Rhinolophus ferrumequinum: one gene and its partner. The protein of the gene in region 1 interacts with the protein of each later gene in a biochemical or structural test. Links are inferred from orthologs where the notes say so. Each region holds a gene or a part of one and is shown on either strand. Other genes may lie near its edges. The genes, in order: SETD1A and WDR82.

Region 1 (15,693 bases):
TTCCTGACCGTCCCACAGACAATTTATAGCCAAGAAGTTGAAGCTCAGCACAGAAGCACAAGGACCTCAGAGGCCAATTAACATCTGATATGGTTTTAAACGCATCACACTCGTTTTGCCTTTCACTGTTTTCTGGGCAGCGGACTGACTAGGTCTGGTCCAGGAAGAAACTACTAAGGCCCAGGGTTCCCAGGCAGACGCGGCCGACGAGGGAGTGGCCCAGCCACAGACGCTGTCAATCGGGGGCTCAGGCTGAGACCACGGGTAAGGAGGTTACAGAAGGGCTTAAGCGTTAGGCAGTAAATGTGGGGAGATGACCTGTTTGTCCCCCATATTGTGATTTTAGGTGCTGCGGTTAGCATTTCTGTTTTACAGCAGGAAACTGAAACAGAAAACTTGACTCCGCATACCAGAGTAAGAACCGTAACTAAAACCCCGGGAGCAACCCACCTGAAGCTTCTCACCCCTCTCAGAGCTGCTTCTTACAACCCTGCCCCCCAATCTCCACTGCGCCCTTGCCTGTGAGACACCTCACCCCTTCACCCGCCTCCTGCTTTCCTCTTGGGGTCTCAGCAGCCTTTGCCTTTCTCCTTCTACCTGACCCGCCACTCACCATCTTCATCTTCCTCAGCTGGGGTGGAAGGTCGGGGCCTCTTCTCCTCACTGGCCTCTGAAATTTCTGAAGGCTCTTTTCGCTTCACCTGACGGACGGGAAGAGACGAGGCCCGCTTAGAGCTCAGACACTCCGGGTTCCCAGCCACCCTCCCCACCGGGCGAGGCCCCGGCTCCGGGCACCTTGAAGGACGGCAGCCGCAGGGCCCCTCGCAGGCCTGTCCCAAAGGCGAAAGCCTCCACGCCGGTGGTCCCCCCGCTCTTCGCCCAGTCTACAAGGGACAGCAGGCCTGGCTCCTTCAGCTTCGTCTTCTCTTTATCCTCCTCCTTGGCTTGCTGTTTGGCTGCATTCTGGAACGGCTGTGGGCACGAGGGGACTGAGCCCAGATCCCCGGCGCTCCCTCCTGCCTCCTGCCAGAACTACAGCCAGGCTCCCGGTGCACAGAACACGCCTCCTGGCTCATCCGCCTGGCGCCCACCCCTGCCGTACCTCTGCTGCACCAGCCCCCAGATAGGCATTTCCTCACAGGTCTGCGAGCTTACAGTCCAGGACCCTGAGGAAATAGTTCCTATCCTCCCCACCCTACAAACGGAGACGCTGCAGATTAAAGCCCAGAGACAGACACTGAAGAGCCTCGTCCACCGCAAGCAGGCATCGGAGCCGGCACAAGGCTCTTCGGGCTCTCGGGCTCATGCTCTTCTGCGGTGCTATGCGCCCCCCGCGACGCTGCCCACCTGGTGTCCCCCAGGTGCCCCGTGTCTGTCCACGTGCCCTCACCGTCCATCCCTTTCTCTATTCTGAGCGGCGTCTCCGAGAGAAGCCCGAGGGCTGTTTCCTCCAGCGGAGCCCCAGCTTGCCCGGGGCAGGCCCTGGCCCTGGCCCTCACCTTGGCCTTTTCCTCCTTGCTCTCCCACCACTGGTCGAACGCGCCGAAGGCCACGTTCTCCACCATCTTGCGGTTGAGGTCTCGCTGCATGATGCTCTTCATCTCCTGGACCAGGGTGGCCAGCACGCGGCCCACGGTGCCGGCCGACGGCAGGGCCTTGCCCTCTGCCAGCTCGGCTTCCTCCCTGGGGGGCAGCCGGGCCTCCTCTCCTGAGACTGAGGACGAGGGCAGGGGCTCGGTGGCCATGGGCAAAGGCAGGTGGTACGCCTCCCGGGAGTAGGCCCCGCGGCCTTCTTGCCCTTGTGTGTACAGGGCGTAGGGTAAGCCATAGGCCGCCTCTTGGGGTGGCGGGAACGGGAGGAAGGCTTCCCCGAAGGCCCCGCCAGGGGGGCCCGTCGAGGCTGCAGCCAGCCCCTTGCCCTGCCGCAGCTGGTGGAGCCGAGTCAGCATCTGGGTCTGCATCTGGAAGGACATGGGCATCCCTCCCCACTGCGCCCCAAGTCGGTCCATGAGCTCCAGGGAGTTCACAAAGTCATAGATGTGGGGGGGTGGCGGTGGAGGCGGCGGGTACTCAGGGGGCGGCGGCCCCTCAGGTCGGGGTGGGAGGAGGTAGGCAGGCTGGTGGGGGGGGTAACCAAGGGGAAGGGAAGCCAGGTAGGGGGGCGGGGGAGGGGGCGGAGGGGGCGGGGGCGGAGGCTGCTGGGGGGGGGTGGGGGCCGGAGGGGGCGAGCCGCCCCTGTCGTCATCGGAGATCTCCATGTCCTCTCCGGAAGAGCATGGAGAAGCCTGGGGATGCAGAGGAGGGTCACAGGAAGCTTCTGCCCGTACCCTGGACTTTCCCGCAAACCCCTGCTTTCTTGCCAGTGCCCTCCCCGCTCCCCTGGGCCTGACCTCACCTCCCTGACCCCGGGCACCTCTGCTGGCTGACCCCACCTCACCTGGCTCTGCCCATTGGCCTTGGGGGACTCCCGGGCAGCCACTGGTTCCCCACTCCCTGCAGGGGCCACGTCCTCAAAGCTGGCTGGAGCTGGAGGGGGGGTGCAGGGCCCGTGACTTGGCCCCGCCGGCACCTCCATCCCCGTGTCTCTGGCCCCAGGGCCCGTGGTGCTGTTTTCTTCCTCTTCCTCTGTGTCAGAGGCCAGGAAAGAAAACTTGGAGCGCTGCTCCTTCAGCAACATCTCAATGCGGGAATCCAGGCTGCTGTGCTGAGCGAAGGGCACACTCTCATTGGTGGTCTCTGGGGCTGGGGAGCCGGAACGGGCAGGTGAGGCTGGGCGGGGGGAGGTCCGGGCTTCTTCTCTCTCAGGGCTGAGCCCCCCAGCGCCGCTGCCTCCACCAGGTTCGGGAGGCTCCGGGGGCGGAGCCTCTGAGGCCGGAGGCCGGTAGTCCTGGTCGGCGGGCCGGCTGGGCTCCGGGGGCAGGTAGGAGGTGTAGGCGGGTGGAAAGCGTTCGGCGGTATTTTCAGCAAAAGGTGCCCCAGGGGCCTCCTCCCGAGTTGCCCGGCGGGGTGGGAAAGAAGGATGGCGTTGGTAGCGATTCCAGCTTTCGTAATATGCTGGGTAGTTTGAGTCTGAACCACGAAAATGAGAGGACGAGGAAGAGGAGGACGAGGAGGAGGACGAGGACAGGGAGGAGGAGGCGGTGGAGGAGGTGGCGGTGGCTGCAGTGGTGACAGAGACGGCGGCAGAGGTGGTCGTGGGGGCCGAAGACGCAGAGAAGTGGCGGCGGGAAAAGGAGTCCTGGTAGCTGTTCTCTGACCGCCGGGGCTTGAAGGAGGCCGACGTGGTGCTGGAGGGAAAGCGCAGGGTGAGTCAGTGGGGCTGGCGGAGCTGTGGCGAAGCCCAGGTTCAGGCCTCAGCACCCAGCGCCCCTCCGCAGCCCCCAGAGGAGACCCACTCGCTGCTGACACCCAGCCAGTGCGAGCCCTGAGAACAGGGATTTGTCGGCTGAATCTAAGAAAAACTAGGACAACTTATTCCCAACTCCTTCTTCGGGACTCTGGGTTTCTTTTTCGCAGCGGCCGCTCCCAGAACCTGGGGGTCCCAGAGGGCAGGCAGTCTGTACCTGCTGGAGTAGGCAGAGTCCTGAGAGTAGGGGGTACTGCCCCGAGACGTGTACGGGGTTCCTTGGGAGGACTGAGGGGTAAACTGGCCAAAGGAAGATGGGGTGTCTTGCCGGCTGCTGGAGAAGCTTGTGTCCTGGGAGCAAGGGGTGCCGTTGCCAGGCGTGCCCACCCCAGCGGTGCCTGCCGGGTAGGCAGCCGTGTCGGAGGAGGACCGGCGGCGGGATTCGGTCTGCAGGGGAGAATGGAGCACGCAGAAACGAACAGTGAGTGCCATTTAACACCTTACCTTTCTCCAAACCAAGAACCCCAGTTCCCTGTCTTTCGAAAGTATCGAGACATCTTTTCTTGGCTCTTCTAATACTTGCAGAACCTCCCGAAGACCGGGCGTCGCACTCAAGCCGCCGCTCACATGGCGAGAGCTATGGCCCCACAGGCTTCTCACCGTCTCGGCGGCTGCACTGGAGCCCTGGAACTTCTCACTCAGGGCCTTGCCCCCTGTGGGCACCGTCTGAGGGGTGTAGGAGCCATTGACTATCAGCTCATAGTACTTCATGCGTTGTTGTCCTGGAGCAAGAAAAACGGGAACCCACAGGGTCAGATGGGGGAAGACAACTCCTTCCGGACTTGGTATTCTCACGTCGTCCTCAGATGTCAAGGTAAGTATCAGGTTTGGGGATTTCAATTCTTCTACCTTCTGTCTCTACCTCCGGGACCTTCTACCTCACCTCCACCTGACAACTACTACAAACGACATGGATTATGACACTTCCGCTTTCTCAAAAGGGGTTAATATACTGGATGACCACGGGGAGGGAAAAGTGTTGGTGCCCCTTCGTTAGAGACTTAAAAGAAAATGGACCTGCACAAAGTCACAAAGTTGGTCAGTGGCAGAACTGGAATTCAAGCCCAGGTCGTCTGGTATGAGGTCCTGTCATACTCTTCATCCTACAAACAACCTAACGGCAGCCTCAGGGCTAAATCCAGCCCACAGCTGTTTTGTTTGCCTTACACAGTCACTTAAAAAAAAAATTTTTTTTTTTTTGGTGGGGGTGGGGACCCAACATTTTAAAACCATGAGATTTCACATAAAAATCTAGACTTCTGGCTTTAAAAAACCGGAATATTTGGCAATATTAGTCCTCATTCCCACTTGCAAATTGGCTGATACCAACTAAGGACTGCCCCCCTGTAGCTGGCACTGCATTACAGCTCGCCATGAGCCCCACCCTCCCTGTTACCCTGACACCGAAGCCTAGAGTTCTTCCCTCACTCGCCTATACAACAGGTCCCTAATTCTCAATCCAAAATTTCAAAACCCCAAAACCTCAACACCCACTATTTTGGGGAATTCAGTGTCACAAGCTGAGCTGAGCTGAGGCTACTTACTAGTTTTCATTCATCCTACCTAGTGTGACCCTTCATCCATTTTCTTACAAGTATAGTCACGTGCTCCCCAAGCCTGCTGGAGATGACACAAAACATTATGTACCACAACACCTCTGTAAGATCCTGATTCCAGAAAGCCACCTGGCTCCAAGAGGCTCAGGTAAGGCTCATCGCGAATCTGATCGCCTGCCTGGCCGCAGCAGCCATCGGGGGCACGGTCTCCGCTGGGGCCCTACCGCGGCGGCGGGCAGGGGAGCCTCACCTTTGATGTCGAGCTGCGCATGGATGATATTGCCCATGACCGAGGTGAGGTGGAGGTTCTTGACCGTCTCCTTGGCTCCCCGCGTGCTGGTGAAGAGCACGCGGGCCAGGCCCAGGTGCTTGCGAGTACGGGGGTGAAGAAGGATCTCTACCTCCTCCACCTCGCCATACTTCCGGCACATATCCTTCAGGAAAGTCTCCCGCACGTTGTCGTTGAGCCTTGCAAAAGTCACTTCCTTCAGCGGGATCTGCCCGATGTAGAACTCATCCAGCTGCGGAGAGGACGAGAGCTCAGTGTGGGGTCTCAGAGCTGACCTCTGTTTCTTTGTCCACTGGGAAACTTAGAGCAAGAGAAACTTAGAGCAAGAGTCAAGAGAAACAGAACTGGGAAACTGAGAGACAAGGGAATAGGAAGGGACTCCATCAAGGGATACATCACTTTTGACCCCTCTCTTCCCTGACCTCTTCTCACCACAGCACAATGGCAAGAACCAGGAAAAGTAATGTACAAACTGAGGAACAAACACACACGGAAGGAACTATTTGTAGAGAAATAATTCACTAACAGCTTTTACGAAGTGATCACCATGGACGGGGCACTAGGAATCCACAGATGGACTGCTGGCCCACCGTCTGGGAACGTCGGCAAGACAGAAAGACACACACAATGCTAACAGGACACAGGACGCGCTGGCAGAGATGCAGACAGAGCGTACAGGAGCCCACAGGAGGAGACCTCTGTTCAGAGTGGGAGGCAGGGAAGATTGCATGGAGATGGTGTCACTCATCCTGGGCGTTTTGGACAAGCAGGAGTTCACCACCAGGACAAGCACTCAGAAGGCACTGGGTAGAAAATAACTTAGCATTTCCTGGAAATTGCAAAGTGTATGGAACACAGGTACGCAGTGGCAAAGGCGGAGGTGTGTCAGTCATATGTATCAATACGCAAGAACACAGACTTGGCAACCGGAGTAAACTCAGAGAATAGTGAAATAAAAAAGACAAAATGACAGCACAGCGGAGCATAAAATGGAGAAAGGAGGCAAGGAAACCAGGTGAAATGAAATGAACACGAGTCTACATTACAGAAATAGCAATGAAGTGGAATTATTAAGGTAAAAATATACGTTTAGGAAAAAGAGTCAGCAGAACTTTGTTACAGATGATGTGATAAATGAAAGGAGAATCACAGAATGGTTCCCGGGTGTCTAACTTGTGCAGCTGAGTAGATGGAAGGGAGAGCAGGATTAAAGGGGGAAAGGGAATTTGCTTTCGAGTCTGAGACGGCCGTGGGGCCTCCAGGTGGAGCTGTCCCACTCCCAGGCACCTATGTCTGGAATTCTAGAGACTGATCTCATCTGGAAACCGAGATTTGGAAGTCATGGACATTTCAGCAATAGTCAAACTCATGGGTGTGAAAGAGATTGTCCAGGCAAAGTGTACGAACTTAAAAAAAGAGGGGTGAGAGAACCCAACACACGATTTACTTACAAACGAAGAAGAAGAAAGAGTTAGTGAAGGAAACTAAGAACCACCAGTTTTCTAAGCCCAGCCTGTGGAGTATCCTGCCTGGTCAGGAAAATGGGAATCTTTGAGGAAACGTGATGGAGGATCCAATGGCCAAATGAAGGGTGAGGCACAGAGGACTCCAGGGATGGGGTTCCTGGCCTTGACAGTCCCCTTAACCGTTGAGAACCTGGGGTATCACACCAGGGCACTGTCAAGCTGTGCACTGTCTAGAATACAGAGTGACAGGGAGAGCAACTGAGCCTGTCTTTATAATATCCTTCAAGAAGTCGACACTCCTGCTTGGGACCCCTCACCTATACCTTTCTAGAATGTGAACCACACCTCCTGTCTAGAACAATCCCCTCACAGCTTCAGACACTGCTAGACCTGGCTGAGACCCTTTCATCGGAAAACTCCCTTTTATTGGCTACAGTACGGCCAGACAGCGAGGACGGACCCCCACCCCCTCCAAAGGCCACCACACCAGGACACCAGCAGACACATACCTTAAATTTAGGGACTGGGAGGGAAAAGTCTCTGTTTTTGGACCTGACGTGGCAACGGGGGTCTTGGAGGTCTTCGACCGGTATATACTTTGAGTCCTAGAAAGGAAAGCAGGGATAGAAAGCACACGATGTGAAACCACATTATGGAGCGCGAAGAAGCCCCTCCGGAGACCCCTCTGCAAGAGCTGGCTGCTGGGTACCCACTTTTTAAGCCAGCAGGTTATGGGCACAGACGTTCTGGGGGCTGCACAGAGCTAACCGGAGAGTGGGGCCGAGTTCCCCGGCTGGCAAGGAGCGGCCCGGGGCACTCACGTTGACACTGAAGTGGACTCCATCGTAGCGGTACACCTTTTGCGAGGGCCTGCGCAGGGCAGGGTCCAAGGCAGGATCCACGATGAGCTTGTAGTTCCTCCACTGGAAGCTCGGGGCCTTCTGCCCATCTCCCCCACCTTCCTGATCCATCTTTGCTCATTTACACTGTGAGGACAGAGGGACACGCAAAGAGGGGGGCGCGGGGTCAGGTCTCAGGCTTGCCTCCCTTGCTGCCCCTCACCGACCAGCCCAGACTCGGGGTCCTCGCATCACCCCAGTTTCCCCACCTCCCCATGACCCGTGGCGGCCCCCGATGTCCCCCCAAGCACACTTTCGCCACGACACCCCATTCTCTCTCCACCTCCCAACTCTCTTCGCGGACCCCAGGCCCATCTCGCGCCCCGGCTCTCCCCAGCGCGCGCCCCACTTGGCCTCGGCGCAAGACCCCTCCCCCGCCCCCTGGCAGGCCCCGCCCCCTCCCGCCTCCTCACCGGCCAGCGGCCCGGGCCAAGCCCGGCTCCCGCTCCCACACACCCGCTCGCGTCCCCGCGCCCCGATCCTCCAGCCAAGAGGTGGCACCTATTCGGGGCGTTGGAAACACCGCGAGACCGAGCCCGAGCCCCGGCTTCGGCCCCGAATCGGAGCAGGGAGGTGGCAGGAACGCGCGCCGCTGCCCTCTCCTCCCGCCCCGGCGCTTTCTGCCCCCCCCATCTCCGCGCACGCGCGGCGCGGCCCCACTCACCCGCTCGTGTCGAGCGGCTCCCCCTCCCCCCACCCCGCGCAGCACCTTAGTGGCGCGAGGCGGCGGCTGCGGCGGCAGCGCGAGACCCGGCCCCGCAGCGGTGGCGGCGGCGGCGGCGCCCCCCCACCACCACCTCCCCGGCGCGCGCACCAAACACCACCGCCACCTGCGCGAGGCCCAGCGGGCACAGTGTCCACATTCGCACTTTCGCCACGGGCGCCACCGGGAGACCCACGGTGCCGAGGATAGCGGTTTCGCCTCGGCCGGCGCCCTGTAAGGGTCGAGAATTGCGGCCCAGGGAGCCTGGAGACGGGCCGCATCCCCCGGAGAGTGGGTTTCTCCACGGCTATCCAGCTGCTCGGGCCTGGGGTCGTTGACGAATCGGCGGCGACGAAAGCAGCGACTAATCCCTGAGGAAAAGGGGGCGGGGCGGAGGGGAGGAGGCCAGCCCGAGTCGGGGAGAGGAGTGGTGCGTTGAACGGGCGCAGATTCGTCAGGCGGGCGGGGCGAATGGGTGGACGGGACGCGCGCTCTTTCGCTCCTCTTGCCTGCCCCTTCCTTGCGCGGCCAAAAGTCTAAGAGGCTGCAGATTCGCCACAGGTCCCGGCCCCAGCTGTTTCCTCCCTTTCCCCGCCTTGGTGGAGTCAAGAAAAGAATGCCTGGTTAGCCAAGCCCTGTTGGCAAGAGTCGGCCACTTTTTATGGATCTTTCTCACTAGCACAGCTCGGGGAACTGCCCAGTTCCGACCCGGGGGAGATAAATACGGCCCAAAGCTCCTCTCCGAGTCCCATGAGAATTTTCGGTCGAGCCCAGAGGCCTGAGTAATTCTGAGGAACCGGCCTAGCGAATCTGCGAATTCTCCTGTGGGCGGAGCCAAGGCGTCGTGCGCAGAGGGCGTGGTCAGAGCGTACCGAGGCCGGCGTCGCGGGGGCGCTTCCTGTAGGACCCACCGAAACGGGGCGGGGTGGGAGGGGCTCCCGGGAGGTGAAAAAATACAACGAACGGCGGTGACTCAGGCCGTTTCCCTGGCGCCTCGCGTAATGCAGGGAGCGGTTTCCTCCCGTTATCCCTCTTGGGCCTCTCGCAGTTTAACGTGCCCACTTGACAGATGGGGAGACTGAGGCCTGCAGAAGGTGCCACATTTTCCCCTGCTCGGCTCACCGTTGGTGCTTAAATCCGAGGCTGTCTTAAAGTTCTGTGGTAAACTTGGTGCGACCTAAAGGCCCTTAAGTGGGTCCTGTAAGAATTAAACTAGGTTTTACGGGAACTAGGGTGGGCTTGTCGACTCTCCAGGCATCACGGTCCCAGTGCCCGCCGTTTTCAGCCGGTGGTGGTGGTGGGGGGGGTGCCTATGCTTACGCGGTCCCGCCGCTGGAGGGCAGCACCAGCACAAGCTTACACCGGGGATCCGGGGCTAAGCCCGCCCTGACGCTGGTCACCCTCTCTTGGATGCAGGGTGTCCCGTCTCCAGATAATGGCATTCCCAGGAGGCACCTCTGCCCTAAGACCCAGACATCTCTATATACAGCTCTTGCTGTATGACTTCTCAAAGCTTCAGAGTCTTCCTCTGAAATGGACATTAATCCCCGTCACGCAGGACTACCGCAGGTATCAGAACAGCACAGGAAAAGCCCCAGAAGCCTGGTGCATGCAAATTCACCATTTTAAGTAACAGGAAAAGAGCAAAGGAGACTTGTTCTCAAGACCTCACACCCTAAGAATGGAAGAGAGAGGATTGGGACGCTTTAAATATTTGAGGGAAACGAAGCTGGAAACAATTCATTTACGTGGAAGCACGTGTGATGAGATCATATCCCTTTTTCTTGTCCCAGTGGAAAGGTAGGGGCTCCTTTTCTCAAATCAGAGATTCCCCATGTGAGGGTCAAAGTAGTCCTAGTTTTCACTGACTGGCTGTGTGGCTCTGGGCACAAGCCTGAGTCTCGGGCCTCAGCGTCCTTACCTTGGAAATGGAAACAAGAAAGACGTCTCGCGATGGAGGTGAGGTCTCAAGGAGATAACCTAAAAGCTCCTCATAGGTAGCAGTCACTCAAGAAAGAAACTTATACTAAATCCTCAGTGGAAGAGAGAGCACCTGGGCTCGGGAACCAGCGTGCCAAAGCCCTTTGCCTTGGAATAACTCAGTCTCCACCTGCAGAAGCTACCGGCCCGTCAGCACCAGGAAGGGTTCACACCTGGAACCCACTCTCCCCCAGCCGTGCCCCGCCCCCAGGTACACTGGCCTCTGCTGGGCTTTTGGGAACAAGTCGCCCGATCCCAAGAGACCTCCCCTTCACCCCACTCAGAGCCACAGGGACATCTGTGAAATACAATTTATTATACAAAACAAGGTGCATCAAAAATTCAGTGTCAGGATACCAAAGGCTCGGGAGGGGCTGGACCTTCTCCTTTAAAACCTCACCCCAACCCTTGATAAGGCAGTCAGTCTGGGGCTCACAGGCCCTCGGTCTCCAAAGACCCCCGTGCCCTCCACCCCCAATCCTGGCACAGAAGAGTGAGAACCAGTTATAGAAGCATCCAGTGTGGGTCTAGGGAAGTTGGACAGGCGCTTGAACCTCCAAAAACAGGGAGGCTCCTTCTAGGAGAGGCTGGACCTATGCCAGGGCAGAAACGCCCAAACCCCTCTCTACAGCAGCTACAGCAAGAGTGTGGAACCCATCAAAATCTGGGGATGGGAAAAAGCTTCCCAATAAATGGTAACCACAAAATAGATTCTACAAAAATAATAAAAGCCAGGGTTTGCTGCCTTCTGGGCAGCTGGGAGGGTGTGTCCTATACCGGACTGCTACGTCTTGTATAGGGGCAAGAAGTAGCTAAGGGTCAGCACCAAAGGTCTGACCAGGGTCTCCCTGCCTCCCCTCCACCTATCCCAGGAGCCTGGACTGAGCACTTTTCACTCGCTCCTCCAAGCCAGTATAGAGCAGAACTTACAAAGCCCATGGAGCAAGCTGACAGGGAGAATCCCTTGGAATGTGGGAGCTGCTCCAAGGCCCCGCCCACAGGACCCTGCTGGCAGGAATCTGGTCTCTACCTGAGAGTGGCCTCAGGAAGTGGCTCCAGGCAGAGTCAGGGCAGCGGTCGGCAGACCTGGGATCTGTGGTTGAACCCGGAGGGAGGCAGTGTTTGTAGAGGTGGCCATACCAGCCTCACACAGCCTGCAGCTCCCCCTGCAGGCGACTCAGCTCCTCTAGCTCCTGCATGTGGCGGTCTGTCTTGTGTGCCACCAGGGAGCGGTAGAAATGCAGAGCAAAAGCCACAAACACAAGCCCTACGGGTACCATGATTGCTGTGGAGGCCATGGCTGCTTGCCAGCCTGGTCCATGGGCCCCGCCGCCACAGACCTGCCGGGGTGGGCAGGCCTCAGACGTCTCAGCCTGTGGCGGGGTCACAGGAGCAGAGGATGGCTTGGAAGCGGGACTAAGGGAGGTGGCCACGGGTGGCAGAGTCCCAGGCACGTGGGAGGGTGGTACCACGGGGGCAGGCGTGCCCACGGGGGCCCCAATGGGCACGAACTTGACCCAGCCCACCAGGACAACTTCAGCAAGGAAGAGGAAGGTGCCCAGGGCAGTGGAGAAGCCCCAGGCCAGCTCCACATAGCGGTGGAGTCGCTGGTGTGGAGACTGGTGGACAGAGTTGAGGTTGTGGATGTTGCTGACAGCTTCAATGTGGGGCAGCAGACACGTGGAGACCATGAGGGCAAAGAGGTGAACCGCCACCAGCACAGTGGTGCAGGCACTGAAGGCCACCAGCAGGCCTGGCGGGTATTGGTAGTTGTTCTCCAGCTGTACCTCCACCATGGCCACCTGTGGGGACAAGAGACCACGGACTCAGCGCTCGTAACCTTCTCCACATAGTGGGATCTGCCTGCTGGCGCATATCCCTTACGTGGCCTTAGGCCCTAGAATGGTGGCTGGCGGGAGGAAACAAGGCTCCCAGCCTTTGTTGAGTGCCTGAAGGGGCAGCCTTGGCAAGGCTCTGGCCTGTTCTGGGTCTGGGTTCTCCCACCGAGCTATCAAGAGGGCTGGGTGACATGTTTCTGACGATCTTACCTCGTTACCACACACGGGTTAAAAAGCACAGGTTCTGGAGCTAGGCTGCCTGGGTCCCTTCTCAGGTCCACAAGCGGTGTTGTGTTGAGCAAGTGACTTAGTTCTCTCTCTGTGCATCAGTTTCCTCCTCTGGAAAATGGGGATTAATACCAGTACCTACCTGCCTTACAGGGTCGTTGTGAAAACTGACTGATGGTATATACATCAAGTTATCAGAATAGTGCAAGGCACGAGTCAGCACTAGGTGTTTCGGTGATTATTGGAGCCAGTGCCGAAGTGCAAGGCCAGAGTTTGCAAACTGGCACGCTATGAATTCAAGCCAGCTTGCAGACATGTTTTTCTTGGCTCATCCAGTGTGTTTCTTAAAGAATTAAGTTGCCAACTTTTAAAACTCAAGAGATTTCATATAAATATTCCTATTTCCAGATCCTCCAGAAAATCTGACAGACCTGGTTACACCAGGCCCATATTCCGGCGTGGACACTAGCAGCTAGAGTTGAGTCACAGCTGCTGCCTTGGGACAGGTCACATATATCCTCAGGCCCCACACAGCCAACTTGGTATCCATATTACAGGCCTGGCCCTTGCAAACATTTGATGATCCTGTTCTAAACTTGTATAAATTTGGACTCTAGAACCAGACTGCTTAAGTTCCAATACTGCCACTTACTTGCTGTGGGACCCTGGGCAGGTGTCTTAACATCTCTGATCCTGCTTTCTCACCTGTAAAATGGCCATAGTAACGGTACCTACTTCATTCGATAATAGAAAGATGATAAACACAGAAGCACTACCAGCCTGATACTTAGTGACAGTTTAGTACTATTTTTGTATGTTATTCTAACCCAGGCCACCGGGATTCCAGAATCTGGATATTACCCCAGCCTCGTTCTTGTGGGATCCATTAGATTGCTCCGGGCTGAGGGAAGGAGGAAGGTGCAGAGTCTGGAGAGTGGTAGTAGGAAGACAAGTCTGAGTATTTTGGGAAATTGGGCCATGACGGGTGTTAGCAGGTGTCTTCCACAAACGGATCTGGGCCAGGCCGTCCTGGTGTCTCCTATAGCCTGACCCAGCCACACTCTCCCCTGGCAGGACTGGAGCCGATCCTGCCCCCAGAACGTTCCCATCTGGCCTCTCGATCCTGCAGAGAAGATCCTGACCCTTAAGCTGTGACCCCAGCAACACCCAAGTCCAGCAGCAGGCCAGGCTGTCACCACGGGAACAGATGGACCACAAGGTTTTGGAGGTGAAGGTCCACGGGACTGCTTCCCTCCCTCTGCGGTCTGTACTCCCTGTCCCTAGATGACCACATCAGGAAGCGTGGACTGGCCTGTGGACCCCGGGCCCCCACACAGAAAACCATGGACCTAGGATAACCGTGAGAGGTAGAGACTTTCCTTTTCATCATTTCAGGTACAGAGGCCGGGACCCAGAGAGGGGCAGGGACGAACCAAACCACCTAGTGCTATGACCCTTCTATTCTCATCTCCAATTGATCCCAGCAGCCTAGTCCTATGAGGACCTCCCCCCACCCCACCAGCCGCTGCCTCTGTCCTGTCATGGTGGTGGGGAAACCCTGGACGAACAGTCCAGTGACCCTGGGTCCTAGTTTATTCTATATCCTTCACCTACTGAGTGCTCTTGGCAGACCCACTGTCCCGTCCTGGGCCTTGGCCTCCATGCCTGTCCAATTAACAGGTAGTTGGCGCCATCTTTGATGTGTGTCTTGCTCTAACATGCTGGGATGTAGGATTTGATGACAACAATCGGCTCATCCTGTGGCAGGTACTTGGCAGGCTACAGAGGGCACACCCTCCAGCATCTCACCTTTTCCCACTGACCTGCGGAGTGCTGGCCTGTCCAGGGTGACACCGCTGGCCACAAGCAGGAAAGAGCCAGGACTTGCGTCTGTTGACTCCTCACCCGGAGGCCAACCTCAGTACCACCTTCTAGGAGGCCTCCACTGGGACCGTTAGCTGATAGCATCGTCCCACACCCCCAGTGTTATCAGCTTCCTCATCAGCTTCTTTACCCAGAGGCTCCCTCACAGCCATTCTCTCTTCGCAAAGCTTCCCTAGGCTACACTGAGCACCCTTTGCACCTGCTGGGGCCAGCCCTCCTCGGGATGCGCCCACCTTGTTGGGTGGCCACTCCAAGTTTATTCTTTGACTCCACCCCCTTCCTGCCCGGTTTCTACAGCCTCCACCCAGCTCTGATTTGCCTCTGAACTCTCTTGGGGATCCGGTCATCACTCCTGCCTGGACTACGCTTTCGGACTCTGTGACCCATCCTTGCGCATGTATACGCCTCAGTGCTACCTTTGGTACTTGTTTATCGTCCCTGTGGCCCAGCTCATGCCACGGGTGTTCACACACACCCCCACCCATTAGAAAGGGACTTGTGCCGCCCATTGGGACCCCGTTTGCTCTCCTCTTTCCCCGTCGCCCTCCTCCAGTGGGTACCCGTTCACTGTGCCCACGACCCCCGCGCTGTGCGTGCCTTCCCTCCCCTCACCATGGCGAAGCCCGAGAGCAGGGCAGACGTGCGGCTGGAGGCTTTGAGCTTGGCCCGGCTGAGGTAAAGGCGGCGCCAGCTGAGCGCCCGCAGGGAGTGCTGACTGGCCCCCATGAGGTCCAAGTAGCCGCGGTGCACGAACTCTCCGTACGTGGCCGAGCCCGCGGGGCTCTCGGCCTCCGGGTTCAGCGGGGCCTGTTCGCCCGTGTCCCCCTCGCCGCCCTTCATGCTGGGGGCCGCGGCGCCAGACTGCAGAGCGGTCACGGCGGGGCCAGGTCGCCTCGGAGTCTGCAGGAGGGCCGGCCCGGGCCGGGGGGCGGCCCCATCCCCCGGTGGGGCGAGCAGAGATGCGCAGGCGGGCTCCCAGAGAAAGGAGGCCCGGGGCGGAGGAGCGGCTGGCGTCTACTGGGAGCCCGAGGGACCGCAACAGGACAGCACAGGCCGAAACAGGAACTGGGGCGGAGGCGGAGCCGGTGGCCACATGATGGGGTGGAGCCGGGGGGTCTGTCCGCAGAGCTCCCGAGGGACCCCGCGACCCTAGACTTAGCATGTCATCCAGACGCCAGAGCCCCGCTGCCGTGAACGGCCGGCCCCAGCCCGTGACCCGGAGTTCCCGGGCCCCGCACCTTTCCAGCACACTTGGCCACCTAACCCCTACCTAAGTTGTGAACTCGGGGAAGGCGAGCCTGTTCGACTGTGGGGATCCCGGGGGACCCTGCATGCTCGGCTCCAGGAAGCCGTCAGGCCCAGACTCCCAGATCCATCCAAACAGCCCCTCCTCCGAGAGCCCCAAAGGGTGACCACTGCGGTCATCCCCTCCCTACCCCAACGC
Region 2 (15,476 bases), on another chromosome or scaffold:
AGGGGTACTTTCTAATAAGAGGGCATGTAACCTGAGAGGGAAAAGGCTCCTCTTTCTATGTTCCAAAACTGACTTCTACATGGTTTTCCTTGGAAACATCTTCCAAGTTCTCGAATGACAGCTACAAAGTCTTCCTGGTTATTCTACTGCTAGGAACTACTCACCTGCCCTAAGCAGAAAAAGGCTTCCTCCCATTACCTGGTTTCCCAGAGATGAGCAGGGCGTCGCCATCCTCTCCGCCCCACTCGGTAGCTGGCGCGCTGTTCCTGGCAAGGCAGTGGCCTGTACAGTTATCTCCTGTACCGGGTGGTATCATAGACCCTCAAACTGTACAAACTACTACCTCAGCCTGGAATCAGGCAAAAGGAAACGAAGCGTTGGAGAACTCTTCAGGATGCACTCGAGACAGGAAGGGCCACATCCTCACAGCAGAGGCCTGGCAGCAAAGCTGCAAGTGCCACACATTTGCCTCATCGTGCACCCCATTTGGACAATCCTCATTTAACCACCCAGAAAAACACCCCAACAGAAGAAATATACCAGTCATGCAGAGGTCAGAGATGTTTCCTCTGGATTCTAATGTTTTATATTCTTATCCAAAAGCATCAAATGCACGCTTACTTAGAACACCACTTCTGAAATAAAGTCATGGAAAGTAGAAATATACTTACTAAAAGTCAAGTACAGGCAGAAAAAGTCAAAAAAAAAAAAAAAAAAAAGACCTGCCCACCTGCTCTGAGATAGGCATAGCTAAAATAGCAGTCTAAACAGTCTGTTGAATGACATTAGAAAAATCTTACTACAAAAAGTGTGTGTGGGGGGTGGGGGGGGTCAATAAATCAGTAAGTTAAATGGAAAAAAAAGTCCTAACATGAAAGTGAGTGTTACTGCTCAATTACCAAGATGATCTGTCAAGTGAAAATGATTTCTCCCAGGCGAAATGCAAGTAAAAACAGAGGCCATTTATTAGAGAAAGAAACTCACAAGTTTAATTTCTACAAATAATTCTTTAACCTTCAAAGACGTTAGCTTTATTTAAAAGTAAAGGGGAAAAGGATAAAATTCAGATCAAAAAATATGCCCAGAATCAAAGATAACCAAAGTCAGTACACTATCCTTTATGACTCAGACCGTACAAGGTTGGGCATACACCAAAAACTCTTCTAAGATGCCCTAAATTATCATAGCTCACATTTGTGAAAACTTTTCTGAGATCTCTATATTTTGAACAGGAAGTACTGTTGTTTACCCTTGCTGTGTGTCAACTATTCTTTCCTTTTGTTCTAAAAGAATTCTTTCAAGTTTCAAGAAGTACAAACCATAAATACAATTTGTTACTTCCTATTCCCACTTTCTACTCTTTCATACTGTTTCAAGCCCTTCAAAACACTAGTGGCTTGTTTCCAGCATCTCTTCGTCATAACAATGTTATTAGCGTTGCTAACATCAGAGGAAAATACTTAAACTACCGTGTTTCCCCCAAAAATAAGATCTACCCCAAAAATAAGACCTACCCAAAAATAAGACTCAGTTAAGATCTCAGCTAGATGGATGCATTTAATACGTTATGACGATGTTCTAGAAGATGATATGACTGTATTTGAATAAATGTAGGTTGCTATACATGGAAACATAAGACAGCCCCTGAAAATAAGCCCTAATGGAGCAAAAATTAATATAAGACCCGGTCTTATTTTTGGGGAAACACAGTATAAACAAAATAGATGTAGTCACAAACAATCCGCGAACTATTTAACAAAGGAAACCATAGCCATAACTTCCTAAAAAGAAGGCTCGCTTACCGTCTATTTTGTTAGAGCTGTAAACGACTGTGTTTGCTGCATGAGTGTATCTGATGAGGTCCACGCCATATTTCTTACTGTACAGGGTTCTCTTTGGTCTGGTGAGGAAATGGATAGAGAAAGAAAACCATTAAAATCCTCCATCACCAAAATCTGGGATCTTAATAAAGAGAGAAGCCCTTGAATGATGTGGTAAGGGTGAGGACTCCTGGTAAGCTATAAAACTGGAAAGAAACAAAATTTCTTCCAAAAGGGAACAAACAGAATCAATCAAGTGCAACAACTTTCAGCTCTGAATGCCAAATGCCAAGGTTAGGAAGTGGAAGTAAATCTGAGGACTCTGTTCAGTCTTTTTATTCCAATGTTCAAAAGTAAGCTTTGCAAAAAGGTACATCTATTGGTAAGAAAGGCACAGAAAACAACATTAAGTCATAACATAACAAAGGGGGATATGGAAAAACGTCAAACCAATAAGGCCGGAACTTTTTCTTAAGCCACTCAATTATTAGGTTCTTTGTTCAAGAAGAAATAATTCATCAAAACTGAAACCTGATGCAAAACTTCCTAATATATATAACCTGTTGCAGAAGCTATCCATCCTCCCTGTCCTAAAGGTCCAAAGCACTTACCGAGCCTTTGGAAAGGCAAGCTTAACTATCCCTAGCAAAATAGTCATCAGTTTTCTTTTTATTTTAATGTAAAATTACACATTTCCCATCTAGAGAATGTCAATCCATTCATTGAAGCTCCTTAAATGTCTTCTTCTATAGAAGCTTGAAGATGAAGCTGAAACCATACTCAAAAACTTACAATGTTCTACATTTCAGCGTAGGAGGATTTCATAAATCCTGTACCAATGTTTACCAAGAATTCCAATTTATGAAAAAGACGTTCACCCTGTCAATGCAAAATCCTCTTGGAACCTAGATGCTAAACAATGAGATAGATGCCTCAGGCAGCTTTATGAAGTCAATCGTTTGCAGTTTCAATTTTTGTTAATGTCAGTGAGGCTAAGGGTTTCCCTACATAAAACTTATTTCCAAACAAGACTTCTCCTTCCAAATGCACTGAATGTTCCACATCCTTACCATACTGAAAAATCAGCTAGAAAGATCAGCTCAAAGGCTACCTTGTTTAGTCCACTGTCCCAGGTTCCGCATTGGGGTTACTGTGTAGTAAAACTAACCAGTGAGTGAGGGAGGGAAGGAGGGAGTGAGTATGAGCATGTGCACATGTTCTTGCTCTCAAAAGATAAGCTGACTTTGCCTCTACCGGTGGAAAGAAAAGCTTACTTATCCCAGTATTTCAGTCTATCTACAACTATGAAAACAGAGCCTAAAGAGCCAACGTTAAAGCGTGTGGAGTAAGGGAAAATTTTTCTGTGGCCTATTTGTCTCGAATTTATCAATAACACTAACCTGAGATTTGTTCTTAACAGAAATATTTTACCTCTTATCATTTCCTACTTTGAAAGCAATATCCTAATGTATTACGTCCATTTCAGGTGATCTTTACAAAGCCCAGGAACATTTTTTCACAAATATTTTGGTAAGCTTCTCTCCACTTATTATGATTCTGGTGATCAATTATGAATAAATAAATAATATTAAAGCCTTCCTTTGAATAATTCACATCACCTACCACAGATTCATATTCTTTCAAGTTGAAAAAAAATCACTCAATGGATAAACTCCATTATAAGTTTAAATGAACAGTAAATTAGAAAATATCAAGCATAAAGAACATTGTTTTAGCTATAATATAATGTTAACATTAGTACCATCTAATAAAGGTATTATGCCTTACAAGGCAACATTACTTTTCTTCCAATGTTAGTTTGACCTACACTAGTGGCAAATGTTTTCTTATTACCATTTAGGATCATGGACTCCTAAAGGCTAAAAGAGGTCATCTAATATCCAGAGAAGTGATCTGACCAGTGACATACCGTGTTTCCCGGAAAATAAGACCTAGCCAGACAATCAGCTCTAATGCGACTTTTGGAGCAAAAATTAATATAAGACCTGGTCTTATTTTACTATAACACACCGGGTATAATATAATTTAATATAATACAATACCAGGCCTTATATTAATTTTTGCTCCAAAAGTCGCATTAGAGCTGATTGTCTGGGTAGGTCTTATTTTCAGGGAAACACGGTACCTGGTCACAAGGACAAACTAGAACTCAGGTCTCCTACCAAACCACTCTCCCATCACAGATCACAATGAAACAAGTCCACAATTGATAAGAAAAAAATTTTAAAAGCATGCCCTATACTATTTTATCAATATTAAATTTCCTAATTTGCATAACTGTGCTCTGGTTATATAAGAGAATGTCCTTATGTGTTTAGGAAAACCATGTCACCGGAATCTGTGTTTAGGGATAAAGGGGCTTGATACATCCAATCTACTCTCTAATGGTTCAGAAAAAAAATGCATACATATAAATACATATATAGAGAAAAAGTCAAAGGGGGCAATGTAGCCAATTACTGGATCATATGGGAGTTCTTTGAAACACTGCTGTAACTCTTAAGTTTGTAATTATGTAAAAATGCTATGTAAGTGAATAAACTGCATTATATCATAAAATTAACATTTTACTTTTAACAAGACAGGACTTCAAGTCACTGTCATCCCTTGCAACAAGTTGAAATTAGGAGACAAACTATGAAGAAATGCTATCACCACCTTTATTTCCTTTGAATGAGGATATACACCTCCATCCTCAGATTTCAGGGAAAGGTTCCAATCTGTGCACAAGCACTAAACATTTCAAGTAAGCCAGCTTCAAGTTACTTCTAGCTCCAGGACCCCACAACGACCCCGCACCCCCAGCTTTGTACCTTATTCTCTCTTCCAAGCTGATTCAAGTGGCCAGACAAGGAAATCCAAATACTAAATGAGTAACACTAACTCAAATAACTCAGCATAGGTCCAGCTGACAACCCTCTCTCCCCCCAGGACCACCACTATGGGCCATTCTTCCACATACTGCAGGCAGATGCAGAGCCAGTTACGTAATACTCTTTCATAGCCCCAGTGGGGGAAAAACTGGGGAGAACACTATAGCTCAGACCAAAACAGCATTACTTTGGATAACCAAACTTACAAACGAAGAGACAAGTCCCAAAAGAAGTTTACAGAAGACACCAGTTTTGTTTTTTGTTTTTCAGGCAAAAGAACTGGAGAAAGTAGAGAAAAACCCAGATTCCAAAAATAAGATGTGGATCAAGGCAACAAAATGAAATCTGACAAAACCAGTAGCCACCGAGTTACATCAAACATCTGCAAACCTGTTCGGGGAAGGTGACTGAGAGGAAATAAAATTTAGCTTAATCCAGCTTCTGCTCCGAAGGAGCTCACAATTTAGCAAGGACGTGGAGGCAGTAAGTGTGAGGTGAAGCTGACATGGTCCCCAGGGGAAAAGGGAAAATACTGTGCTTGTAAGATTTTGCAGAGATGCAGGTGTGGTGGGTATCCAGCACTTGGGGCAACGCAGAAATTTCACGGTCAGACTAGACTTGGAATTAAAGTGTTTTTTTTTCTTTAAACATAAGAGGAAACATGAAATTGTTATACGATGCTTTCTTTGTTCTAATGGGAGGTTCACATTCAGGTCGAGCCAAGTTCGGTCGTGTCTGGCAAAAAGGAAAAGTTTCAGATGTTGCTACAAAGTTCACAATAAGCGTGGGCAATGGGTCTGAGGGAGGAAGAGCATGATTTGAAACAGAAAGGAAAGGACACGGGACCCAAAGAGGCACAACAAATAAATCCTGACAGCTAAGAACTGCAACCCACGCGGCCTTCCGGCAGAAAGACCGCGGGAAGCAAAGGGGCAGGGGTTGGGCGGAGTGCCAGGGCTGAATCGAGGTCACCGAGGAGAAGGCACAGAGAGCAAGCTGACGCCGTTTGATGAAGCAGGAGAGCAGCCTCTGAGGTTCTCCGCGGAGGGCAAAGCCGATCCGCACCTTTTGGAGTCCGAGCGGTGGAAAAGCTACCAGCTGGGGCCAGGGTGGGCGGGTCGGGCGCTTAAAGGTCAAGGTCAAGGTGGAGTTGGGCAAAAGATGCAGAAGTGCTCTCAGAGACCAAAGACACACAAAATATTAATGCTATCATTAGTTGTTTGTTTTTTTTTTTTTTAAAAAAAAAAGGTCTCCTGGACATCTCTGGAGTGGAAGAGTGGAAGCGGCCTTGGCAGGAGCGAGCACAAAATCGGCGGGGGGCCGGAGTCGGGGAGGGGAGCTGGCCGCGGGGCGAACCACGAGAGGGAGGGAGGGACTCAGACCCGGGCCCTGGGCCACCGCCGCACTCACTTGCCCTCCTGGCAGTCATAGAGCACGATGGAGTCGTCGTCGCTGCTCGAGATGACCGTCTCGCCGTTCGGGCTGAAGTCGAAGCAGTTAATCTTGTCCGAGTTCTCGCGGAACACCTTGGCGACGCGGAAGCTCCGCAGCACGCTGTCGGTCAGCTTCATGGCGGCAGCTGCTGGCAGCAGCAGCGGCGGAGCAGGGCTGGGGCGGGGCCCCGCGGCGAACGGGCGGGCGAACGAACGGGCGGGCTGCCGAAGGGCCCACCCGGGCGGGGCGGGCGCCGCGCCGGCGACGAGCTGGAAGGCGGCCGACAATCAGGCCGCCTCCTCCTCTCCCTCCTACGGCTCGTGCAATGTTCTTCTGCCTGACTGCGAGGCCTTGCCTACCGATCCTCCTCACAGTCGCCTCAGGGACAACCCAAGCGACGCCCGCTCATTGTGTCCGCCATCTTGGGGCGACAAGCAGGAGCCTAGGGCGAGGAGCCGCATCGCGGCGCAAGCCGGGAAAGAGGGCGGAGCGGGAACGGCGGCGCGAGGCGGGGAGGCGGGGCGATGACGTCAGCACGGCGGCGTGGAGTGCAGTGGCGGGATGGCCGCTGGCTGTGGGGAGGAGGGGGGTGGGGATGTCCACGACCTCCTCCGTGGGCGGGAAGACCGCTGGTGCCTGGGAGCCGTGGGCCTTTGTGCGGTTAGCAGCCCCACTGGAGACTCGGGCGCGTCCTCTGCAGAGGCCCCATCCGCATTTTACCAGGAAGCAGGTCCTGCGGGGATCCGCCAAGCCCCTCCAGGGGTCAGTCAGTGAACCCATCAGCTGGCAAGCAGGCAGGCTTTCGCCGCAAATCCACATGTCCTGAGCGGGAGGTGACTATCAAAGTAGCAGTCTCATATCAGTTTGTGTCTCCCCACAATGTCAGGCTTTATTAGAATGGATCTAGTCATGGATCTAATCCTACCTAGTCGGTTTACCACGGGCATTAACCAAGGCTCTAGCCAAAGGATAGCCTCCAATAGTAAAGGTAGGGTGATTTCACAAAAGAGGGTCACACTGGTTTGCAAACAATAAGGTTAGGCGAGGTGAACAGAGTCTTACAAAAGAAGGATGAGGAAGAGTCCTGCTCAGTGAGAGTCCCTGCGGTGCTGAAGTGCAGAGCCTCCGCGTCAGGCCGGGCTTGTGAGATGGTCAGGAGCGAAGACTTCAAACGGTCTATCTGGGAGGAGTGCAGATGAAGCTGTCAGCTGTTAAGGCCTGAGCGATGAGCTGTCAGAGAGCCTCTGTTTTTATGCTCAAGACTGGGTGCAGTGCACCCATCTGCAGTCCAATAAAGCTATCTGCAGTCAGATAAAATGGTCCAGGTGGTCACACTCCATCCTGCATCTGGAGTTATCTGGTTAGGGCCTTCACTGGGTACACCTTTCATGTGACGCTCTGGCATGACTGTCACTTTGTGACTGACAACTATCAGAGTCATAATGCTCTACACATCATGACAGAGTCAACATACTTTCAATTTCTGTATTTTTTATTGGTATATAATATACAGTAGACAGCAAAAATTTTTAGTGGATGAATTTTTTTCATTTGGATATATGTGGTGTAATTAAAAGATATGGTGAATATTTAAATAAAAAAATGTATTACAGTAAAAGACACATTGCCATTAGTCCCCCTCAAAATAACCACCCTCACTTCGAATACACTGATCCCATCGTTCTTGCCACTTTCTGAAACAGTTCTGGAAGTCCTTATTCCTGAGTGTCTTTACTTCATTGTCCATCATGACAACACTCCATGTCACACATCGCTTCTGGTATACGGCAATTTCTGTCAAAAACATTGCAGTGTGTCCTCATCCACCTTATTCACCGGATCTGGCACTGTACAACTTCTGGCTCTTCCCCAAAGTCAAGATGACCATGAAAGGAAAACATTTTTTAATCAATTCAGTCCATCGAGGCAGCCACGACAGCGCAACTAAAGACAGTCACGAAAGAGGACTTCCAGAACTGCTTCAGAAAATGCAAGAATGATGGGATAAGTGTGTTCGAAGTAAGGGAGAGTATTTTGAGGAGGAGTAATGGCAATGTCTTTTACCATAATAAATTTTTTAAATTTAAACATTCAAAAAATAAATAAAAAGAAAAAGAACTTTTAAAAATATTTTAAAAAATAAACCTTCACTGTATTTTTTAATCACACCTTGTACACCGATGTGACCACCAGGCAGAACTTCAAGCCTTCTTTTAAAATTTTAATTGATACATAACATAAAGTGCATACAGTGAACAAATTTTAAGTGTTCCACACATTTTTATAAACACTCATCTAAGTTTTCAAATGTATTTACAGCTCCAAAATTCAGCATCAATTACAAAGAAATTTTTAAGAGGGAGAATTGTCTCCTCATTCAACAAAATACAGTTTTAAATTCTCCTGAGTTCTCCCTCCTTATTTATATATCTACATAAACCACTTTCCCCTTTTTTAGTATTGTATAGACCACATTTTTCCATGTTCGAGGTATAATTTATGTAGAGTAAAAATTGGCCTTTTTAATCAATAGTTCTAACAGTCATATACAGTTGTGCAATCACTACCACATTCAAGGTATAGAACAGTTTCATTACCCTCTTTGTAGTCAACGAAATTGTTTCAATGGTTCCTAAGAAGGGATTTATTTGCCTTAAAGGAAGGAAAGTTGATCCCTAACAAAAGAAAGCGATATCTAATCACAAAATAGGTACCACGAACCCTGGCTTTAACCTTCTGTGCAAGGAGTTAAACTCGGTGCAACCCATGAGAGTTCATAGATCTCTAACTTGTGCTGCAGCTTCTCAAAAGTTTAATGGCCTGGGACCTCCAACAATGGAGATGGAGCCTATTTACTTTGTTTCACTAAATTGCAGTGGCTAAAGAGGAAGAAAAATAAAGAGGAAAGACTGTGAAACATTTTAATCACTGATATTATGAAGATGTGCTATCCAGAGATCCAGATATAATCTGGACAATGCTAAAAACAAAACAAAAACCCTGGGACAGGTGGGGTCCCTCCAGAAAGAACTAAGGCTGTGTCCCATCCTCTGGGTAAAGAAAAGGTAAAGATCCCTACACATAAAAACAAGTTATTGGAAGCATTTGAGATCTTGCTCCCTGGCATATGTTGTCAATTTGGCTCAAATAAACTCTTTCTTATAAAAATTCTCTACAGATTTGGACATTTCTTTACATCAACACTTACTTGGCACAGTATGGCAGGATTCCAAAGAAGCCCACCCAGAATCACTCTGTGGACCCTAGCTAGGGCCCATTGTGCCCACCAGTTCCCTGCTTCACTTCTGGTGAACTTGGGTGAGTTTCTCTCAGAATTGTGGGCTTCCTTGCTTTAAGGAGCAGGCCACTACTTTATTTGAGCTGTTCTTAGAAATTCTTAGAGGTGGATAAGGGTTGAGATAACCCAGGGAAAGGAGAAAAGTGAGTTGCTGCTTTTAATCTCGACTTTTTAATTAGATTGCTTACTGAGAGTCTGTGACAAAATCTTGCTGGGTAAATGAGAGACTGAACTGTCTAGCTCCGAGAGAAAGGACACTTGCTTCCCCAACCGGAATAGCCAATGGGATGATGATAGTTGTTCAGATCCCCAAATCTGGAGTGGTAGAGAGGGGTTCCTGAGTCATCCAGTGCGGTACGGTACTATAGATAATCGCAGAGAAGCTGGGAGGAGCCCCAGGGAGAAGAAAAGGGCACCCTGGAACAAGTGCATCCCAAGAGAGAGGCCCAGGAGAGGGGTTCATGCCTAGGAAAGCATCAGGGTTCTGGTGGCATCTGCTAAGCTCTCACTGGCCCTTGCACAGGTATTCTTAGGTGACTAAGAATCTCCATGGGGTTGTCTAAGGAAAATTTTCCTCTAGGGCGTGAAGCAGTCCTATAGGGATATCTATGGCATGTGGCTTATCTGCAGATGTGCATGGAAGGGCTGGTTTTCCCTAGAAGTTTGTTCAGATTCTACAGATCTCAACATTAATATGCAAAATCATGCCTCCCAGGCCAACACGGCCCACCACAGTTAGCCTCCTATTTATAACTAAGATGGCCAAGATGAGGATCTTTTGATACTTCTAAATTAATCTTTTGTGAACACAATTAGAAAAAGCCAGCTACAAAATTAAGCAGAATTTAATTGGTCTCTCAAAGCTTCAAAAAGAGAATTTAGAAAAATGGGTTAACCCATGATGTCGTTTTGGTGTCAACCCAATTCTTTGAAGTATTCAAAATGGCTGTCTTTTAAAAGGGGGAAGGTCATTGTAAATTGTAAATTGTAAATACCTCCAAAACAAAAATTGTATCCAACTAGTCTCTGTTTGTGTCTGTTTGTATATGTCTATATATGTATGTTATAAATGAGAGATAATTTTCTACCTCCAGATGGTATTGTTTAAATTAATTTAAAGGCAAGCACTTATAAGAATTGGGTATCTAAAATTCTCAGAAATATAGAAACTAACTCATATGATTTTCAAGTTCACATGATCTAACATTAATTATTAGTGAATAAAAGCTAGCTTAAGTTTATTGGTTTAAGAAAAACAGACATGTCTCTATTTTGCCTGGGTTTTACAAAAACATGTCCATGTTAATAATTGACCTTTATGTCTGTGAAAAATATTTCTAGAGATTATAAAATGTCCAAGCTAAAGAATGCTAATTGATTACTTCTTAGTTTTTATTAGACATTAAGTTTTTAAGGGTTAAAAATCTCAATATATGTAGGTAAACTTCTAGAGTATAGTGTATGGGTAAACAAAGCCTGTAAATTAAATGATTAATCAGGGCTTTGGGAAACCTGAGATGGCCACTTGGTTCTTCCCTGTACCTTGGCTCTACATTTTTCAGTTTTTACATTTCTTCATGCATCACAGTGGACTGAAGCTGGATTTAGATGAAGGAATTATGAGCTGACATAATTGAAAGGAGACATCTTACACTATTACCAAGGTCTGACAGAGTCACTCAAGAAAATGTCAAGTTGGTAACCACTTCCTTCACAGCGAACTCACAGGAGACATGTCTTTAGATATTGTTTATTGGAAAGGACACCAAATAAAAGACACTTTCCAACCTCACTGGAGACCCTATAACTATGAATGGACATCTACCCCTGTCTACAAACATCAAAAACTCCTTCCTCTAGGGTGAGAAGTTGATGACATCAGAGATAGAAAGCTATCCAGAAGACATGGGATAGCTTATACCTATGGATTGATCCTAAACTCAGAATCCATTTTGTTTGATTGTCTTTACTTGTCTGCTAATGATATTAGTCATAATAATAGTTAGACTTATTCTTTGGGTTTTTCTATATAGTACAATGTTTATGATTACTAAACATGTATAAGGTAACTTGTTAATATTCTTTTTATGGCTTATATAAATGTTATTATAGTAGATGCCAAAAACAGAAAAATGAGACAGAGGCAAACCTCAGATCATGATAGTTCACTGGATAGAAATGATACAGTGCTTCATAATAAAGGCCATAAGACCTGACTGCCTTCCATTTACCTGCCCTTCCTGTTTGGGGAAAATTCAGCTCAGATCCTATGGTTACAGTATTGCCCCATCCCCAGTGGTCAAGACAAACTCAATACAGAGAACTCCTAGGAATGAGACTTCCTAGCACTGTGAGACCACACTATCCGACCAAAAGGTTGGTCATCAATGCGTCCTTCAGATTGATTTATGATCAAAATGGATGAAAAATAAGGGGTTCTATGGAAAGTAACCTCACAGGGTGATCTGATCATAAATTCCTAACTGGTCAGGTCGTGGGAGGTAGTCACGCCCCAGGCATATAACTTTTTAGTTAAAGTATTCTCTTTGCCTTAAGCAAGCTCTGTCCATTGTTTTTGTGCATTTAGGTTAACACATCTTTAAAATAAGCTATAACCACCCTCAAGAGAGCACATAATCTTGTTAACTGTCCTGTAATCCAATCCCTGCCTTGCTTTTTCCCCCAACTCCATGTAATCTTCCTTGCATTCCCTCCTTAATTTCAAATGTATAAAAAAAAGCTGCAAAACTTATTCTCTGGAGCATTTGAGATCTCACTCCCTGGCATATGTCGTCAGTTTGACTCAAATAAGCTCTTATAAAAATTTTTTTTAAAAAGAAAAGTTGTCCTCTGAGGGGAGAGGGCAAGATCCTGGCTAAGTCTGGGTTGCAATTTGCCTGCTGACAAAGAGCAGAGCTTCTGGCTACAATTTGTTCTGGGGTTTGGAAAAAGCCTGAGTGAAACCCAAGTGGATGGCAACTTTCCAGAACACTCACTTCCCTGCAATTCCTGCTTTTTTAATTTACAAGCTAGAAAGGCTGCTTTGAATAGTTAGACGGCAACAAGGACAGAGGGTACCGTGTCCTGGAAATGTTGGAAAGTGAAACACCCAGTGAGATACCGTATTTTGGACCCTTTTAACCTAAAAAATAACCACAGAAACAGCCATAACCTACTGAATGTTTTCAGCCAAAAGAAATCTTTGCAGGGTATCTTTCATGTTTTGTACTTCCTGTAACTTTCCCAGATTTTACTAGTAAGACCAAAGCTCTCTTCCAAGACTTGACTTCCTGAATTATTTTTGGAATGGAAAAAGTCATTTTTTCATATTTTAAGAGTGTCCTGAAATGATTCAGCCTGTTTCACATTCTCTCTGTTTCACATTCCTAACCTGGCTCCCTGCCCTGTTATAGTGAGACTCCTAGCTTCCAGTCCAACAGTGCCTTAAAGGCTGGACTTTAAAAAGTAACCCAGAAAGGCTGGCTCCAGTGGAGGGAGTGGATGGAAGGGAAAGATTGCAGTCAGAAGTGAATCAGGTTGCCTTAAAGAGCATCAGACTTAATTTTTTATTTGTCCATGTTACTAAACTTTTTTTTTGGGGGGGGGCAGAATATTGTGGAAGAGTCTGTTTTTTCTAGGACCCATCAGCTCCAAGTCAAGTCATTGTCCTTCAATCTAGTTGTAGAGGACGCAGCTCAATTCCAAGTGTAGTCGCCGTTTTCAATCTTAGTTGCAGGGGGTGCAGCCCACCATCCCATGGTGGGAATCAAACCTCAGAAACTGCAACCTTGTTGTTAAGAGCTCAGAGTTGGCGCTCTAATCAACTGAGCCATCCAGCTACCCCATGTTACTAAACTCTTAAATCATCATTTCACATATTCACTTAGTTTTTCACACAAGTAAATACATGTCCATTGCAGAAAAACTAAAGTACAAACAAGTAAGACAGTTTAGTTAGTATGATTGCTAGGTAGATAGGGGGGGTCCCTGGTGGGATAAACAAAAAACAGCCATATCCTAAAACTCCAGGTTTTGAAATCACTCCTTCGCTCCAGGACATAATGTAACAAGGCCTTGAGGTTAATCATAAAATTCCTTTTGGCCTGACAAACAGAGCAGAGCTGATAGATAAGAGTGGGTTACTTTGCTAATTCCTTCAGGATGGGCCAGCAGAACAAACCTGGTAGACGAATTTCATTAGAAGGCGCCAGTTCTCTTCTTCAATCAGCAACATTTCCCCAAACTGGCAAGGGAAGGTATAAAAGTAAAAGCCTTTTGTCTCAGTCACGGGACACCCCCATTCGGGACCCCCCTCCCACTCGGGAGTTGCAACCTCTTCTCCTGCCTCTAATAAACTATCCTCTTTTTAAAAGTTTTTGCCTCTCCCTGGTCTGTGTGTCCATTCTTCAGTCTCATGAGACACGATCCAGAAACTGCCAGCGGATCCAACATCACCTACATCATAAGTAATAATAATAATGAAAAAAAGCAGTATCCCGAAATAGCTACTATTACATTTGTTTTTATTATGGTAAAATATATATAACATAAATTTTGCCATTTTGATGTAGAACTTTTCAGATTTTTCCCCTGAGATCTATTTTAATGGGTTCATAATATAATATTATTTATAAGCTACCCTTTTCATATAATACTGTGAACATCATCCAAGTCAATAAACACAGAACTACACAATCGTTTTGAATGGCTACACACTACTCCACCATGTGTTTGTAAAGTAATTTTTTTCACATTTTATCCAAAGTCAAGCCAGAGTCTGGCTCAACATATGTTGTTAATTGGAGAAATGAATTTAGCCAGATAGTTGATTGGCCCTTTTTTCCCCCCATTTTTTCTCCTTTTTACAGAAAAGACTTTTGTTTTAGAGCAGTTGTAGGTTCGCAGCAAAATTAAGAGGAAAGTACAGAGCTTTCCCATACACCCCCTGCCCCCACACATGCACAGCCTCCCCCAATATCAACATCTAACACTGGAGGGGTACATTTGTTACAATAGATGAATCTACATTGACACATCATAATTACCCTAAGTCCATAGTTTGCATTAGGGTTCACTCTTTTTTTTTTTTTTTTTTTTTTTTTCAGTTTATAACGAAAGCCCTTTATTTTGAATTTGAAAGAAATCTGTGGGATGGGAATGACATCTATATTTAGGCTTCTAAATTCCATTCTTTTATCGTATGACTACTCATCTAGACTATCTCTTCTTCAAGGACCAAGTCCCAGGTCCTTACATATGGCAGATCTCAAAGACAATTCCAAAATGGGTACCAGTCTTCAGTTTATGATCCTCCCAATAAGGCGTGAAGTTTAGCCCATCGCCTGATGCCTGCTACTGAAAATTTGAATGAACCCTTTCCTCTTCGTTTACCAGAATCTTGATGGATCACAAGGACGGGACTGCCAAATCAGAGATCTTACCCAGGCTCAAGCTTTACTACCATGTTTCCCCGAAAATAAGACCCCGCCGGACAATCAGCTCCAATTCACTCTTGGTTTTTATACATTCTATGTGTTTGGACAAATGTGTAATGACAGGTATCCCTCATTATGGTATCATACTGAGTATTTATTTTCCCCTAAAAATCCTCTGTGCTCCTGTTCATCCCTCCTGCTCCCCCAACCGCTGGCAACCAGTGCTCTTTTTCCACTGTCTCCATAGTTTTGCCTTTTCCAGAATGTCATATAGTTGGAGTCATACAGTGTAAATATACTTTCAAAACTGTGCTTATCCAACACTTGAGATTATTATCTCTATTTCACAGATGTGAAAATGGGGGCCTAGATAGGTATTCCAGTGAGACAGTTTAGTTAGTATAATTGCTAGGTAAATAGGGAGGTCTCTGGTGGACTAAAGAAAAGACAGTCATATCCTAAAACTTCAGGTTTTGAAATCACTCCATCACTCCAGGACATAATGTAACAAGGCCTTGAGGTTAATCATAAAATTCATTTTGGCCTGACAAATGGAGCAGATCTGATAGATAAAGAGTGGGTTACTTTGCTAATT

The links.
Region 2: the proteins of SETD1A (region 1) and WDR82 form a complex in vitro, tested with the Homo sapiens proteins (2 studies listed by BioGRID). The link is inferred for Rhinolophus ferrumequinum from reciprocal best matches to the Homo sapiens genes SETD1A and WDR82.

Annotation. Positions count from the first base shown.
Region 1 is NW_022680357.1:374,818-390,510, forward strand, and holds the start of SETD1A (histone-lysine N-methyltransferase SETD1A), read right to left. Parts: upstream 9,115-15,693; 5' UTR 8,447-9,114; intron 8,402-8,446; exon of another isoform or gene 8,281-8,401; intron 8,187-8,280; exon of another isoform or gene 8,030-8,186; intron 7,704-8,029; 5' UTR 7,689-7,703; coding exon 7,539-7,688; intron 7,323-7,538; coding exon 7,227-7,322; intron 5,484-7,226; coding exon 5,213-5,483; intron 4,129-5,212; coding exon 4,007-4,128; intron 3,794-4,006; coding exon 3,564-3,793; intron 3,288-3,563; coding exon 2,438-3,287; intron 2,286-2,437; coding exon 1,500-2,285; intron 973-1,499; coding exon 796-972; intron 702-795; coding exon 614-701; intron 1-613. Other genes in the region: ORAI3 (protein orai-3), read right to left, coding at 11,445-12,101, 14,862-15,089. UniProt on the Homo sapiens protein: Histone methyltransferase that catalyzes methyl group transfer from S-adenosyl-L-methionine to the epsilon-amino group of 'Lys-4' of histone H3 (H3K4) via a non-processive mechanism.
Region 2 is NC_046300.1:47,896,566-47,912,041, forward strand, and holds the start of WDR82 (WD repeat-containing protein 82), read right to left. Parts: upstream 6,613-15,476; 5' UTR 6,286-6,612; coding exon 6,125-6,285; intron 1,901-6,124; coding exon 1,803-1,900; intron 1-1,802. UniProt on the Homo sapiens protein: Regulatory component of the SET1/COMPASS complex implicated in the tethering of this complex to transcriptional start sites of active genes.